2 linked regions of the Tamandua tetradactyla genome follow. The protein of the gene in region 2 purifies or fractionates together with the protein of the main gene of each other region. This does not show direct contact. Links are inferred from orthologs where the notes say so. Each region holds a gene or a part of one and is shown on either strand. Other genes may lie near its edges.

The links.
Region 1: the proteins of CAPZA1 (region 2) and TNKS1BP1 purify together in Homo sapiens (affinity purification with mass spectrometry; 3 studies listed by BioGRID and IntAct, with this or other methods). This does not show direct contact. The link is inferred for Tamandua tetradactyla from reciprocal best matches to the Homo sapiens genes CAPZA1 and TNKS1BP1.

What each region holds. Positions count from the first base shown.
Region 1 is NC_135335.1:20,263,294-20,271,381, reverse strand, and holds the start of TNKS1BP1 (182 kDa tankyrase-1-binding protein), read right to left. Parts: upstream 3,104-8,088; 5' UTR 2,934-3,103; intron 2,208-2,933; exon of another isoform or gene 2,096-2,207; intron 1,717-2,095; exon of another isoform or gene 1,645-1,716; intron 1,244-1,644; exon of another isoform or gene 1,032-1,243; intron 1-1,031. Other genes in the region: FACT complex subunit SSRP1, read right to left, coding at 3,669-3,740, 3,958-4,144, 4,676-4,764, 4,968-5,138, 5,580-5,709, 7,084-7,129, 7,273-7,411, 7,842-7,914.
Region 2 is NC_135337.1:9,448,137-9,456,372, forward strand, and holds the start of CAPZA1 (F-actin-capping protein subunit alpha-1), read right to left. Parts: upstream 3,199-8,236; 5' UTR 3,012-3,198; coding exon of another isoform or gene 2,897-3,011; 5' UTR 2,719-2,896; coding exon of another isoform or gene 2,718-2,718; 5' UTR 2,702-2,717; coding exon of another isoform or gene 2,701-2,701; 5' UTR 2,518-2,700; coding exon 2,479-2,517; exon of another isoform or gene 2,407-2,478; intron 1-2,406. Other genes in the region: ST7L (suppressor of tumorigenicity 7 protein-like), read left to right, coding at 3,224-3,431, 5,210-5,292. UniProt on the Homo sapiens protein: F-actin-capping proteins bind in a Ca(2+)-independent manner to the fast growing ends of actin filaments (barbed end) thereby blocking the exchange of subunits at these ends.

The sequences.
Region 1 (8,088 bases), on a different chromosome or scaffold from region 2:
GTTCCCCCTTCTAGGACAGTCAGGGTGGGACAGTCACAGCCAATGACAAGGCAGAATGTGGGCCTCTCACCAACCCAGTGTTGGCATGAAGGGGTCTTAGGGTGGGGGTCGGGGGGAGACAGCAGCTCTGGGGTAGGGGTCATTTGGGTAGCCCTTCTCCAAACCTGTAACGGGAGCTGAGGGATCTAACAGACCAGGGTTCAAACCAGGCCTGGTTCCACCACTTTCTAGCTGCAAGACCCTGGGTAGGTGGCTTTCTTTTCTAAACCTCAGTTTCCCTATCTGAACATGGGGGCTAGTAAGGCTGCCTGGAGGCTTAAGTGAGATAAGACATGCAAAACCGCTTAGCACAACCCAAGTGCACAGGAAGGAGGCCCAGTCAATGTTGGCCATTTTGTTCTTATTCCGTTTGCAATGTCACCAAGAAGCTTCAAAATCCCCGGGAACCACCTCATCTCCCCAGACCCCAAGCTGCCAGCATTCCCAGACCATTTCTTCATTCCCACACGCCCGCCTGGGCCATGTTACCTGTCCTCCAGATACTCCACCACCTCCTCAGTTCCCATCCCACCCACAAGAGCCCCCCCCCCCCACCCCAGCACTCCACCCTGGTACTCAGAGCCTTGGCCCTCTATTCAAAAGGAAGGGGAAGGGTTTCTATCACCTGGGACGTGCAACCTGTGAGGACAACCCAGCAGGAAGCATGTCCTCCCTGAAAGACATCCCCATTCCAGCGCGTCTGGGAAGATACCCCCAAACTCTAAGAAGCCACCTCTGTTGCCCAACCTTTGCCAAGCCCACCCCACCCACCTTGGCGGTGCCCCAGTTTGCTTCAGAGATGGGAGAGGGTGTGAGAAGGGTAGAGGGGAACCCAAGACTGCCAGCAGGGTCAGTCTGCCAAGGAGCACCCAGGCCAACCCGTGGGGGGCTGGGAGAATGGCCGTGCAGGGCGGCAACCAAGTGCGCGTGGAGGAAGGGCTCGTGGCAGAAAAAATAAAATTTAAAAACACAAGACTGTTTCCTTGTCCTTGAACGTTATTACAAGGGACATGGTGTGGGAGATTACCAATGGGGATGAACTGGCCCCGAAACGACAGATACTTTCAGCTGGGGGCCTGATAAGCTCCTCCAGGATGTGAGGGGCTGGCCCAGATGGGGGTCGGCCCACAGCGGCTCCGAGACCCCGGCCAGGGGACCCCAGGTGGTCAAGGCCCTAGTCAGAAGCTGCAGAATCACAGCGGCGGTGAGCACTCCCCAACCTCCCGAGTCCGGGGAAGACGAGCCCACCCTTGGGAGTGAAGGCCGCCAGAAGGCCTGAGGGTGGGGGTGGGGGGCACTGGGCAGCTCCAGCCCCGGGCGGGAGCCCCGAGGGGTCTCGGTGCGTGGGGGAAGGGTGGGGGGTGCGCCCCTACGGACCCTGGGATCTCCGGCCAGATGCCGGGCCAGAGAGGTCGCCAGGGACAGCGCGTACACTGCTGGAGGAGGGAGGACCAACGGCAAGACGGAACAGCCCGGGGCGAGGGGCCGTCTGGAGGGGCCCAGTGGGAAGCTCTGGACACAGAGGGGGCGGCGGCAGCCGAAGCGCAGGAGGAGGAGGAGGAGGAGCGGGCGGAGAAAGAGGAGGGGGCGACAGAGGCGGAGGACCTGTGCGCGGGATACCAAGCAGCCGGCGAGCAGACGACGGTCTGGGGACGCAGCCCGGGTGGGGGGCGGGCTGGGCGGCTGGGGGCGTGCCGAAGGAGCAGGGGCAGTGTGGGCCCCGGGTGAAGGGGAGATGGGGGGGGGTCGCCCCGGCAGCAACGCCCGCCCCCGGCCCCGCCCCAAGCCTTCGCCCCCTCCCCCTCCCCCTCCCCTCTGGCTCCGCCAGCACGAGCTCCAGCCCGTGCGCCCGCCGCCCCCATACACACGCGACTCATCTCCCCCCGGGCGCCCTGCGACCCCCGCGCCCCAGGCCCCGGCAAACTTTCCCGGCGAAGCCCCCTCCGCTCCAGCCGGGGCTCGGGCGGGCAGGCACCCACCCCCTCCATGCCCCTCCCCCGCCCCTGCCCCGGACCCCGCCCCTCCCTCGCGCTCCCGCCCGTCCCCGGTCACTCACGCGCTCCCCAGGGATCTGGCTCCGCTCGGCTCGGCGCCCCGACGCCAAGCCCCGCCGGCGCCGCCGCTGCTACCGCGGTCACCGAGGGACCGAGCTAGTGCGAGCCGCGGCGGGGCCCCGCCCCCGGCCCCGCCCAGGCCCACGCCCCCGGAGCGCCTCCTGAATATTCATGAGCCAAAGCAGAGCCGCGAGTGGGAAGCCGGTGCCGCGCTCGCACGGCCGGATGCAGACAGAGGCAGCCCCGTGCTCAATTATTCATGAACCCTGCGAATGAAGGGACCGCCCCGGGTCCAAGCCCCGGCGAAACTGACGCAATTCGGTAGCTAAGAGCTTTGGGCAAAATGGCCACCGAGACGGCTGCCTAGAGAGGACAGGAGACTGCCTTAGGACAGCCCAGGACTCAGCCCCAAGCCGCCTGTGCACATTGCAGTGCCATAGAGTCACGGCTACGAAGACGGTACCCGCTGGAGGACTAGCGAGGTTTCCTGTTGCGTCCTCCCGGGACTAGAAGCAACGTGGCCGCCCCACGTGCGTAAATTCACATTTATACCCACCGTAAGGACTTTAGCAGCTGTTTTCCCACGAATCCTCCTTATTTATTTCCTGTTAGGCTCTCTTCCTAGATACAGGTACTTTCCAACCCCCAAATTTAGGATTCCTCCTTCCTCCAGTAAGAACAAAAGCTTCACACATTTCACACCTTCCCTGCACCCCCATGAGGCGCGCACACCGCCCCCCAACACCCATCACTCCTCCTCCCCCAACTCTCCAGGCTCAGATTTCCACTCCCCCTCACCCCTACCCTTGTAGGGAGGCTGATCAATCCTGATTGAATTACCTAAAATCTTGGAAGACCCTTGACTCATAGGTGATGAAGGATGGAGCCAGGAACTGCCTCCCATCAGCCTGGCTAATGGAGTGGAACTGTGAGCAAGACTTCCTAATCACATCAGCTCTCATTTCTATACTCTCAGGTGGCCCATTCTGGCAGAAGAGGTTGAAAACCAATGCTTGGCCAGTCGGGAACAGGACAGGATGTACCTGGAGACCTGCTTCCCAGCTGGCCAGCAGGCCTGCCCAATCAGGGCACTGCAGGAGACAACACCAACAGTAGTAGGGCCAATGCAACAGGGCCAGAGAGAAAGCATAAAAACATGGTTTCCAAAGTCAGTTCCCTTTATTAAATGTTTTTTTTTCACAGACCAGAAATACAAAATAAATGTAGAAATATGCCCCAGTTAGGAGCTACAGGCCTAACCTCACGCGACCCCTGCTGCAGCAACTTGAACAGGATAAGCAGCAGCGAGTATCCCTAAGGCTGAGGAGCTGGACCCCACATTGCCCTGCCTCCCACCCAGTGTCTTCCCAAATTATAAAGAGCCAACCTTATGAGGGAGCAGAGTAAGACGCCTCCCCTGCTGCCCCAGTGAAGTGCGTCCAACCAGGAGAGCTTGTGCAGATGGCACAGAACTCCAAGGACTACATTTCCTGTCAGGAGAAAACTGGTACTAAAGCAGGGATGGGAGACTGGTGGTGCGACAGGACAAGCAGAGAAAGAGAATGTTCCTCCTCTTTAGTCATCGGATCCTGACACCGAGTCTTCTGAGCTGGGGGGAGTACTGGCTAGTTCCTCTTCTTCAGAATCCTGAAAATCAAAGGCCTCTTAGGGGGAAGGGTACTGAGTCCTGGCTGCCCTCCCAGCCACTTCTCAGTAGCGAAGGGCCCCCAATCCACCTTCCATCCGCCTTCAGAACCTCAGAATTCCACTCATTCACTCAACCTCCTTTACGCTTACAGACCAACCACAACACCTGGCCCAGGAACATCCCCCCGGATGCCGCTCACCACACACTCCCACACACCTCACTCCGCCTCCTCTTCTTTTTGCTTTTGTTCTCTCCTGAAGAGCTTTCGTCACTTGACACAAACTCTTTACTCTTAAAGCTTTCACTTAGCTGCTTGGATGAAGACTTAGACGATGAGCTCCTAGAGGGCATGGATTTTTTTTCCATCTTTACCTTTACTTTCTTCTTCTTTTTTGACTTGTCCCTGTATTAGCAAGAGGGGAAAAAAGGGGTCGGCCTTCAGGCTCCTTCCCATCATCGCCTAGGCCAAACCTCTCCTGGTCTTAAGAGGGCCCTTTCCCAATCCAGGCAATGTTGCCCAATTCACACGACATAAACTGTCAGCCATGTTAGTCCAAAGTGTCCCAGGGAGAGAATCCTAAATGAATACACCAGAAGAAATGGGTCACAGCTTGAAGCAGTTCCACCTGCAAAACTTATCATCTTGAACAAATACATGCACATTTTGCATTATGTTCCATTATAATTAAAACAAACAAACAAAAATGTTCCTTTACACCTTCAAATAAAATCGACCATCCAGGGAAATAGTCCATGTTTATCCGGTGGCTTCAGCAACCCCCGAGAGCACATTAACCTTGCTTGGGAAGCTGCCCACCCCCAGCTTTGAGAAGTACTGCCAGTCAAATATCTGTAACATCTCCACTTTCAACTCTGACCTGCAGAAATCTCTGCCAAAAAAAAAAACAGATGCCATTTTGTTCCAGAGACTCACCTCTTAGAAGACTCGCCCCGGCCCCCTTCATAGTCTTTCATGGCTTTTTCATATTCCCTCCTGGCATCCTCAGCCTTGCGATCCCACTCCTGTCACTCACACACACACACACATGTGAGAGGGTAGAACAGAGAATGAGACCTCTTCCCCCATGGAGGCAAAACATCCTCTACAGAAATTTTCCACCAATGGCCCAAGTGTGCCCCCTGTCCCAATTACAAGACCCTCACCCCACCCCACCCCAATAAAGCCCTTCTCGCCAGCCCTGTAAACCCTCCCCTGTCTCTGCTACCTCTTTCTTCTCCTTGGACATTCCCTTCCAGATCTCGCCCGCCTTCTTGGAAAGATCGGTGATGCTGATGCCGGGGTGGTCTGACTTGATCTTCTCCCGGCTGGCGTTGAGCCACAGCATGTAGGCGGACATGGGCCTCTTGGGCGCATTGGGGTCTTTGCCTTTTTTCGCCTACACGAGGGAGGATCCAAATGCCTCCAGACATCCACTTCCCAGACACTCCCCGCCCCCCCCATTCTCCCACAGCTATTACTTAGATTACCTACTTGGGTTTAAAAAAAAAAAAAAGGGGGACCAAAGAATAGCAGGCCACAAAGAGCTTCCCGAGGGTGGGCAACAGCACGGCTTCTCCCCTCAGCATTCCAGTGCCTAGCTCCGTAGGGGCCCCCTTTTCTCTGGGCCTGACCCCTGATTCACATGGCCCAGGAGCTAAACTTTACCTCAAGGGCAAGGACCAGAGAGAAAAACTTCCAAGAAGATAACCCTCAATGCCCTAATCACTGGCTACACAAAAGCAGCCCCAGGATGGCCGATCGGCAAGTTCTGTTGGCGGCAGATGGGAAGTGGAGAATGGCTCCCCTCACACCCTCCCGTCTAGAGCCAAGTCTGCACCTCCACAGGCTTCTTGCGACTCTTGCGATCCCTGGCCATTTTGGCCTTCTTGAGCTGTTTCCGCTTCTTCTCCTCCCGGTCACTGTCGCCCTCGTTACTGGAGGAGCTGGCAGAGGCGTTGCTGTCGAATCTGCCAAAAAGAGCGGGACTCAGATTCAGGAAGGGAAGGCAGCACCCTGCAGCCTCAGGACAGGAGGAACACAAATCCAAAGACCCCTGCCTAGAAGAGAGGGAGAAAGACCGCAGGGCAGCCTCTACCACCGATCGCCAGCCCTGCCTCCTCCCCTTTGCTGAGGGGGCTTCAGCCATCTTCTCCCCAGTCCTAGCCATGGTAACTGGTTATTCGCTCAATATGTTAAAAACCAAACAAGCCAATGGGCTCTAGCTGCTTTCCTTAGTCATCGCCTAACCCGGTCCCTTCTCCATCCCACACTCCCAGACAGAAACGTCGCCTCATACTCGTCCAGCACGTCAGCACTTCCTTGTGGTTAATCATCTTCATCTACCCTCTAGCCTTTGCTGATGAAGGCTGAACTCTGTTGCTACCAGAAGTGGGAAAGGCCAGCCTCAGTTCCACCCACGTAGTTAACACCTGCCCAAATACAGACAGAACTCCTCAAAAGATGATGCTTACACCTGTGGGTGCTGCAAAGTCCTCAAGGAACTTTCATAAGCTTCTGCTCACTCACCTTCCTAAGGATGGGGCAAGCAGTGCTAGGAGACATCAGTATTTCTGCAGCCCAAATATTCATTCCCAATACTTGTGGATTAATACAGTCTCAATTTTCTGTTGAAACTGCCTCTCCCATACTCAGAAGGGGCTCACCCCAACTGCAGGCTCTAAAGGCCCTGCACACCCTGTTATCTCAGGCTCAGGAAAGGGTATGTGACCACACTGCTCACTACCATTGCTCTGAGAGAAGGGGCACACTGGATGCTAAACCAGTAAGACTAAGCCTGCCCACAGCTGCTGGAGTCCACTTGCGACTGCATGAGGCAAGCTGCCTAGAAATAAGGAAGCCAAAAAGCAAGAAATACAAACAGATTCCCCACAACTTTTGAAGGCCAGGTCCAGTAGTGCCTGATACAAGTTATATCCCTGCACTCTCTAGTTACGTGAACTTATAAAATTCTCTCTTACACTTAAGCAAGTTCGAGTTGTATTTCTGACACTAACAATCAAGAGTCTTGGCAAAAAAAAGCATGGAGGGACTTACTGTCATTTTACAGATGATGAAGCTGAGCCTTCATGATTTACCCAAAGCCACCCAGTTGACTCCCATTCCAATCTCTCCCCACTGTGCTGTGCTAGCTTCAAAATGCGCCTTGCACGTACAAGGGCCCTGACTATTTTTGAAGCACCTCTCAAGTGACCTTGCTGGACACTCCTTTTCTGCCCTGGGTCAGTGGCTAATGCTGGGACAAGAGAAATGCCCACAAATCTTCTCGACTCTTAAGCTTACAGGCCACCATCTCACCCCCACAAGGCGCAACCAAAACCTACTCCTCTGCCACGTCTTCTTCCTCTTCACCTGGGTTGAATGACTCATCTGAAAGAGAGTAAGGGCTGCATCAGCTCTGTCCTGGTGGAAACCCCGCCCCCTCACCCAGACTCCCAGCTCTGGCCCAGGGTGAGCCCAGGTCTGGCTCAGGGAGAGCAGTCTGACTGCCCCCTGCCCTCCACACTGCCCACCAGTTTCTTCTCCTGAGTCGTCACTGCTATCATTGGCATTCTCTTCCCGGATCTTGCCCTCCTCCTTCATTCGCTCCAGGTAGGCATCGTGCTGGTCTTCGTCCGAGTCGGCATATTCATCGTAGCTGGGGTTCATGCCCTAACCAGGAAGAGCTGGGCGTGAGGGTCCAATTCGCCCTCTGCCCAGAACCGCTGCACCCTCGACAACACGCCCCCGTGCCTGTGAGTAAGATCAGAAAAGCAGCTCCCAAAAAACCCTGGGGCTGGATTATCCACACACAGCCAACATGCAGGGCCTGCGCCCCAGCACTTCCTGCCAGCTGGGTTAGTCCAAGCTCCTCCCTCTCCCAGCCCCACCAGGAGCTCCTGATGGGCTACAAAAACTGATCTAAGACCATGCTAAGGAAACCTGCACCAGGAAGGGGAAGGGGTCACACGCACCTCTTTTTTCTATAAAGGCAAGAAGAAAAGAAAGAGTAAAAAAGAAGCCAGAAAAACCCCTGTCCCTTTCTTTCCCATATAGAGAGGACAGGGGAAGAGGCTCATCCTTTCCACACACAGAGACGTACCTCTTTTAATCCCCGGTTTTTGATGTTGAGCTTCTTTGCGTTGACAAAATCAAACAGCTTCCCATACTCCTCCCTGCGGGGAGAGACACACCACGTTACCAGACAGTTCACCCCAGAGCAGGGGTGAACTAAATGATATCCTGGTACCCATGGGCCAGAGGAGACAATAGGTTCTGGACTCTTGACCACATTATCCAACCCTATTTTTTGGGGAGGTCAGGGACCCCCAAAAGTAACAGCAGCAAAG
Region 2 (8,236 bases):
TAATATCAACAAATGCATCTCAGGGTGTACTGCTTTCAGAAAAATGTAACAAGAAGCAGTATTAAGATATATTTAGAATCATGACATACAAATTCTTTAAAAACCCCAAATCAAATGCAGTTGAAGTCTTAGTTAAAAAGAGAAAAAACTCTGATTTCCATTAAGAAGAACACAATACAAACTAAGACAAAATATGTTGATTTTTAAAATCAATTTTTAATTGTGCCTTAGCTGGGAAAGTCAAACAGGCCAAAAATCCCATGTAAAGGTTACTTATTGTTCATGAATTCTAACACATTCATATAGACAAGACTTTACTGGAGATATACTTTCTAAATTGTGGAATTCAATCTGAAAGAAGAAAAGACAGAGCAGGTACGAAGTTGAAAGACAGCTAATTAATGAGATCTTACAAGTCAAAGCCCTTTCTTTTTACTTACAGATTCATAACAGATAATGGATCAGTTTCATCTCCATCTGGGAATAAGACTTAACAATGTCAAGTAACTCCATATCGATTTGCTATGTGAGATTTTTACCATAACATCTACTTTTAATTACTCACACTAATGAAGAGGTCATTAATGTAAAAACTGTTTATCGAATATAATACTTGTCAACTCTTTTTGAGAGTCGATTAACCTAATAATGATGTGCTAGTTTATGTTACTAAGTTAAAATTAAGCACAGAAGAACTATACTGGAAAATATGAGACTGGTTACAGATCTTACACAACAGAGACTATTAATATTAAGACTATTAATATTAAACACTATCAATATTCAAGGGCACCTTAATTTGTACTTTGAAAAATATATAATAAGTTTAATTTAAAAAGCATTCTAACCTAGCATCAAAGACAAAAACCCAACATTGGTCAATGAAATGTCATTTGGGCACAATAAACTTCAAAGTTTTATTGTTATCTAAATTCTTAGTGAAATTTTGTTGTAATACTTTTTTTTGCTTAAATAAGTGGGCCATAAGTTGGGGTTTTGTTATGCCTTGACTTTCACCATAATTTAATTTTATATGAATCATAACTATTTGTCTTAGAATAAACATTTTATTACAGTTTTTCTCCAGCCTAAATTCACATATACGATGCCTTTATTTTCCCCAAATTGTATTTAACATTTATGAGAATTTCCACATAAGAGAAAACTAATGCTAAAATGTTCAATGGCTTTTTTATGTTTAGCATATCTTTCAGCATTTCAAAATAGCATGCCATTAAGTAGGTATACCATTTTGTATGCGGGACTCTTGGATTAATAAACAGTACACCCATCCTATCCAAATCTCTTAAATAAAAAAATAAAGAGCCCAGGTACATTTACAGAGCATTCAAGGGTGCACACTTTGTAACTGGTGCTATGGGAAACAAAAAACATGAGTCTTGTCCTTTCCTGTGCACAATTCTGACAAATTATCTAATGAGTTACTTCTAATTTCTACAGGACCTAAAATCATGTATTTATTGAAAAGCCTGGTGAATTGTCAAGAAAGTTATGCAGCTTTCGGAAAAATTTATTCCATCTAACTAGAATATGCTTTTGTATTTAACACTTTTTAAAAATAAATACACAAATTACACATCGACAAATTCAACTATAATCAGATACCACAGTGAAACATCAGATAAAGAAGGTAGGATGCTCTGTGCAGACTTCAATGTAAGAACATGAGGTTTATATGCCAACGTAAAATCTTTCTGGCCTTTTACAAAGGTCCGCTGGCTATTCTTTAACAAAAACAGCTGAAACCGAAAACTATTTTTCAAAAATTATCTCTAAGAAGAAGTAAGACCTACTACATATATGCAACCAAAAGTACAGGAAACATAGTTGTTTAGATTCTGAAGCAAATGCCCTAAACCCTACACGTTTTATTACAAGGAATTAATAAAGCCGATAGTATATGAGAAAACATGGATATACAGTAAGGCGGACAACACATGGGGACATCTCTCTGTCGAAGAGTCGTGACAGCAAAATCACTTCCTGAGGAAGGAGGAGCAAAAGGGAAGTTAAGAGGCCACCCTGACCAGGAAGTGACTTGCCCTAAATTAGCCACAATCATATCTAATAATGGGGGGATGGGGAGAACCCTACTAGCCGAAGACAGTATAACAACCGCTTCTTGATTTGTCGCGACATCACCAATGCCTTTCCCATAATCACAAAAACGTGTCTACAGTCATGATTCAATAAGAGTGTCTACCCTCGCAGGGAGGCTACTGGGCTGTGCCTCAGGCCCAGGAGGGAAAGGAGAGCGTTGAGGAATGGGGAAATAGAGCCACCGTGAGGCAGAGGAAGACCCCTTGAGAAGGAAGCGTCCCAACTGCGTGGAGTTTATACCAGCACGGGCCAATAAACTTATATTACCTGAGGACACTTCCAGGGTTCCCAGCGCAGCCGGGTCGGGCCCCTGTTCCCTGAGAGAAAAAGAGACAGAAAGAGAGGCGGACCCCTTACCTTCTCCTCGTCCGACACCCGATCCTCGAAGTCGGCCATCTTGGGCTCCTCTGGCCCAACCCGTCCACCCGCGCGAGGCAGGCCGGGAAAAAAACCGAGCGATGGAATTACCGCGGGGGCCCAGCGAAGGACCCGCCCGGAAACGCCGACGGAGGGAGCGCCATGTTAGTTACGGGCGGAGGTGGTGGTTCCGAGCGCCAGTAGTACAGGAAGTCGTTTTTAAGTGAAATATTTTTCTGAGTTACATCCATTTTCTCATTCATTTCTTCGACGCTGGGGACGTGTTTGAACTGCTCTTGGGTTACGAGCTTTAAAGTCCATCCGACTAAATAGCAGTTATACTCCTGTAAAATTTCCCGGCACCAATGATCTCCGTTGCAGCCGAGTCCAAAGCGCTAAACGCTGCTCGGATCCTGGAATGATCGATGGCTTTTCCAACCCCAGGAATGGGGTGAAAGATCACCCTCACCTCTTATGTAGGCAAAAACACCACTCCGGGGTCACATCTCTGTCCAGTGATGTGGACAGAACAGGTGTCGCTATCCATCCCTTCCCCAACCCCCGAAGGAATTTGTAGCTTCAGTCTTAGGACATTCCTCCACCTTTCAAATCCGTCTCCGTTCTCTAGGACTCGACCTTCAAATAGGCCAGCTTCAGGTCCTCCACTATCCCAGGATTCCCGGCTCCTGGTTTCCTCCCCTTCTCCCCCGCCCCCCCAGCTCCCGGCGCCTGCGGAAACGGCAAGATGGCGGACGGTGACGGCTTGGGCCAAGTCGCTACTGCTGCAGCATCTCCTTCTGCATCTGCTCCGGGCCTGAGCTCGTCGCTGGGCTGGAAGGAGCGGCTGCGGGCCGGGCTGGCGGGAACTGGGGCCTCGCTGTGGTTCGTGGTGGGGTTGGGGCTTCTTTACGCTCTGAGGGTCCCGCTGAGGCTGTGTGAGAACTTGGCAGCGGGTGAGAGGCCCAGACCTCCCCAGGGACGGGCAGGGATTCAGAATAGGTGCCGGGGCGAGGGCCAAAGGGCAGAGATTCTCTGTAGTCACTGGAGGGCTTTGAAGAATGAGTGGATAATGCGTGGCTAGTGCATTCTTTTTCTCTTGAGCCGCAACCCCTCGCTGTGAAACCTAAGCTGAGCTCCTGGCTCCTCCCTAGAGCTCTTAGGATCCTCCCTCTCTCTTCCTTCCTGGTTTACCCGAGGAAAACCACCTGACATGCTGCAGGTGGTAATACAGAAGTGAGCCCTCTCAGACTGGATTACAGAATTCATATCCCACCGTTGATAGGATCCCCTCAAAATCATTCCATTGAGTCTCCTGTAACCCAGCTGAAAGCCCACATCCAAAAAACAGATGAACAGAGATCTCAAAGAACTCACATTCAGACAACAAAAACAAACAAAAAAAAGGCCATGGCCTTTTCATTGAACCATTCTCATGTTTTAGAATAGACCTGCCAAGAAATAGTTTTCGTGATATTTTTGTTGTAGGCTTTATCTTAAATAATGAAGCAATATGCAGAAAGTAAGTCATAAACAGCAGTTCATTAGTTCATGCAACGTTTGTAGAGGGCTTGTTAATGTAGTTTCGACCGAATATGGAAGACCCATAAGAAGTGATAATATCTGTGGATACTGTAGATAGTGTCCTTTAGCAGTACCACGGATAAAGTGGTTGGGGCCTTGGGCCTCTCACCGTATCATTGCAATTTTCCACTCGAGCTCTGAGAGCACCCCAGAACAATATGCAAATATTTCTGTTACGTGATATCTTTGCTTATCAATGCAGTAGTTTGTTTTTCTGTAATAAGAGAAGGCAGTTATCCCCTCTTCTATAAGATGACATGAAAGACTGAGATAATGTTATGAAATATTTTGTACTTTTTAGAAGGGAATTATGTAAATTCCGATGTAACTAACACACTAAAACCAGTTAAATAAACTGGCCTTCCTAGATTATTTGAAAGAGCTAATTGGTTGTTCTTTGTAGCAGGTGAATGAAATCCTTAATTCTGGTTGGTATCCTCTGAATGTTAATTATTGAGTTAATTCTTTTTCTTCATGTTAACTAGATATACCATAGAGATGAGAATATTTCATTATGATAGATTTTTATTTCTTCGTAAAGTCCGGTGTCCAAAAAAAATAATTTATGAGACAATTATTTGACATGAAGAATCTGGTTCTGGATTTCACAATGAGTCAGGGACAGAGAGCTCTCAGTTTATTGCTTTTCTCTTTGCGCTCTTTTGTCTCTCTGACATGCCAGGTATATACGCTATTTCCTACCCTCACTGTGCCAGAATTCTATCATTCTAATTTGAGACACTGTTTTGTGTCTCACCAAAATAAGTAGTTTTAAACCTCCTTTGTGAAAGGATGTTTGTTTAGCTTCTTGCCCTTATAGAGTAACAGAAGTTCCTGTCCATAATATGACCGATAAATTCTTAGTTTTATTCTCAGGAGCAAGCTCAAGAATCTCATTTTGATGGGCTGCTTATTTAACAAGTCAATAGTGTAAAATGTTACCCTTTATGGGTGCGAATTCATTTTTAAGATATACAGTGATGGGAATTTAAATGATCTTTTTTAAAAAATTACAACTTTCTCAAATGAATCTCATGCTAGATATTAATATTACTTCTGTCCCCCTAGCCATAAACTCACCTGCATATTTTTAATTTAAATACTTTGAATTTGCATTTTTTAAACTTTGGTTTCTTTTTTCTTTTGACAGTGACAGTATTTTTAAATTCACTGACACCCAAATTCTATGTGGCACTTACAGGGACGTCATCTTTAATATCAGGACTAATATTTGTAAGTAATTTCCATTTCCTTCATTCACATTTTGGTATTTATCCAAAGACTAAATCCCTTTGTATAGTTATGATAATTATAAATGCTTATAGCTCAGCATTTCCAAAATGTATTCAGCCTTTGGAAGAAAGTGCTACCTATTCAAATAAATTTGGGGAAAACTGCATCTTCCTCAGCACTCTTAGAAACTGTCAGTATTCATTTCTATATTAAAGGCTTTATTACATGCAGTACTGCAGGGGTGGCAGACAAAATGTCTGCAGAACCCTAGCTTGGTAACAAAAATAGGCAAGGTATAAGAATTATTCCTTATTTAATTTGAGGACTTAATAATCTGGCGAATGCATGCCCCTTCTAAAATAGGAATAAAAACTAATTGTTTCCATGTAGATTTGCATTCCACTATCCCCAGATCGTCCAGTTTTTCAAATGATTTTTTAAAAAATCTGGATATACGATTTTTATATAGAATCTCCCAGTATTTTAATGTTGACAACACTGAGCAGACTAAAAATTTACCTGCTCCTGAATTCAGCCTTTAGGCTGCCAGTTATGGTCTCTGGAGTATTTAAGACTAGGTTTTGAAGCCAGGCTGCCCATCACTTACTTGGTATGTATGTGACTTTGAGCAAGTTAATTAACTTTTTAAGCCTTAATTTGCTCATCTGTAATCATGGTTTCCATTTCATAGGCTGATGAGGACTAAATATGGTAATATGTGTAAAAGCTTGTAACATGACTGGCTCGGACTGAGCACTTAATGAATTTTGGCCATTATTTTTCTGAGAAGTTCACAATAAAGGAGCCAATTAAACCTTTCTTTTTTTTTTTTTTTTTTTACTTTTTATTTACTTTTCACATAGCTGTGCATTAATCATCACAATAGACTTTTTTCTTTTTTGTGAAAAATAACATACATACAAAAAAGCAATACATTTCAAAGCACATTGCAACAGTTAATTATAGAACAGATTTCAGAGTTTGGTATGGGTTATAATTCCACAAGTTTAGATTTGGAGACTAAAAGAAATATCAATATAATGATTCAGCAATCATACTCATTTGTTACCCTACCTTCTCTGTATAACTCCACCATCACCTTTGATCTTTCTCTCACTCTTGAGGGATGTTTGGGCTATGCCCATTCTAACTTTTTAATGTTGAAAGGATTGTCGAAAATATGGGATAAGGGAATGGACCTAGTTGATGCTCTGAAGAGGCTGGCCCCTCTGCATTTCAGGACTTATCAGTTCCAGGGATCCATCTGGAGGTTGTAGGTTTCTGGAAAGTTAGCCTTGTACATGGAGACTTTGAAGAATCTTACATAACATCTAGGTGTTCCGTAAGATTGGCAGGAATGATTTTGGTTGGGGTTTGGCAAGTTATGATAGGTAGCAGTGTCTAACTGAAGGTTGCATTAAGAGTACTCTCCAGTGTAGCCTCTCTATTTGAGCTCTCTCAGCCACTGATACCTTATTTGTTACACTTTTTTCCCATTTTGGTCAGGATAGCATTGTGGATCCCACGGTGCCAGGGTCAGGCTCATCCCTGGGAGTAATCACCCACGCTGCCAGGGAGACTTTCACCCCTGTGTATCATGTCCCTCATAGTGAGGAGAGCAGTGATGCCACTTGCAGCTGGGAAGCCAGTTTAACTGTAATTCAGTTTTTCCTTGTCCTATTTGACCAAGAGCTCATTTTTAATTAAATTTTAAAATTTTATTTTATAATTCCTATTAGCATCCCTAGTGTAAACTTTGGAAAAATACTGCTACAGATAAAAATCTTAAGCAGTTTTATGCTGCTTGGCCAATGAATTTTTCTGTCCTTTTTTCTCATCTCTAGGTGGTGCTCTTCAGCTGTAATAGAAATGATCGTATTTGTATTGCTGCTTTATATAGATATATTTAGTGATTAACTCTGCCCATTTTGTTTAAGTGAAAAGCTGGACAAAAAAGGGATTTTACTCTTGGCTTAAAAAAAAGACACTGTTCAGGAATTCCGGATAAAACTATTTGTTAATATAAGCCTTAATTTATTGATTTATAAAACCCAGTCATAATTAAGTATATTTTGCCAATAGCATATAAAAGTCTAAATGAAGAAAATAACTATCTTTAAATAGCTAATATAGTGCGAAAAGCTTTGGTCTTGGAACCGGAAGGGTTGGTGACCCTGCCTCTTAGTGTGATAACTTTGAATAAGTCACTTAAACTCTCTGAGTCCTAATTTCCCCTAAAACCATTTTAAAATTTTGTTTTTACTATTTTTAAAACAGATTTTAAGTGTACAAAAGTTAGGAAATTCAAATAACATCTTAAGGGTTAAACTGGTTCATTGCCTTTGAAATACCGATGGGTTTTTATTAATAAAGGTTATTGGGTTTGTAATTTATTTTGCCACCTAGGCTTATCAAACCTGTAAACACACATACACTGAAGTATGTTTCTGGGGCAGGTGGAGGCAGTTGGTTGATACAGTGGTTAGAAGTTCTGAAGTCAGACAAACCTGAATAAGAATCCCTGCTCTGCCACTTAAACCAGAGTTATTTAAACTTGGTGTGTATTTCCTCATCTGAAAAATGTGTTGTTAGGAGGCTTAAATGACATGATGCAAGTAAAGGACCTATCTCATAGAAAGCTTTTGATAGACATTAGCAATTATTATCATTGCTCCTTTATGTTAAAAAGATGAGATAATTCAGTAGCCTTTAACATCATATTCATTCCTAAAAAACCACCTGCATTTCATATAGCAAAGGGCAATTTGTTATTGTCACTTTGTGATTACTGTCCCTAATTTGATCCAATGTACTTCTGCCTCTTCTGTCACAAACATTTTCTGCTTGTGTAATTTACTTGTTTCATCTTAGCAAAACATGGTAGAAGCCAAACTAGGGCCACATTTGAATGTAATTAACTGCTTGGTAGCTCCATTAGAGTGAG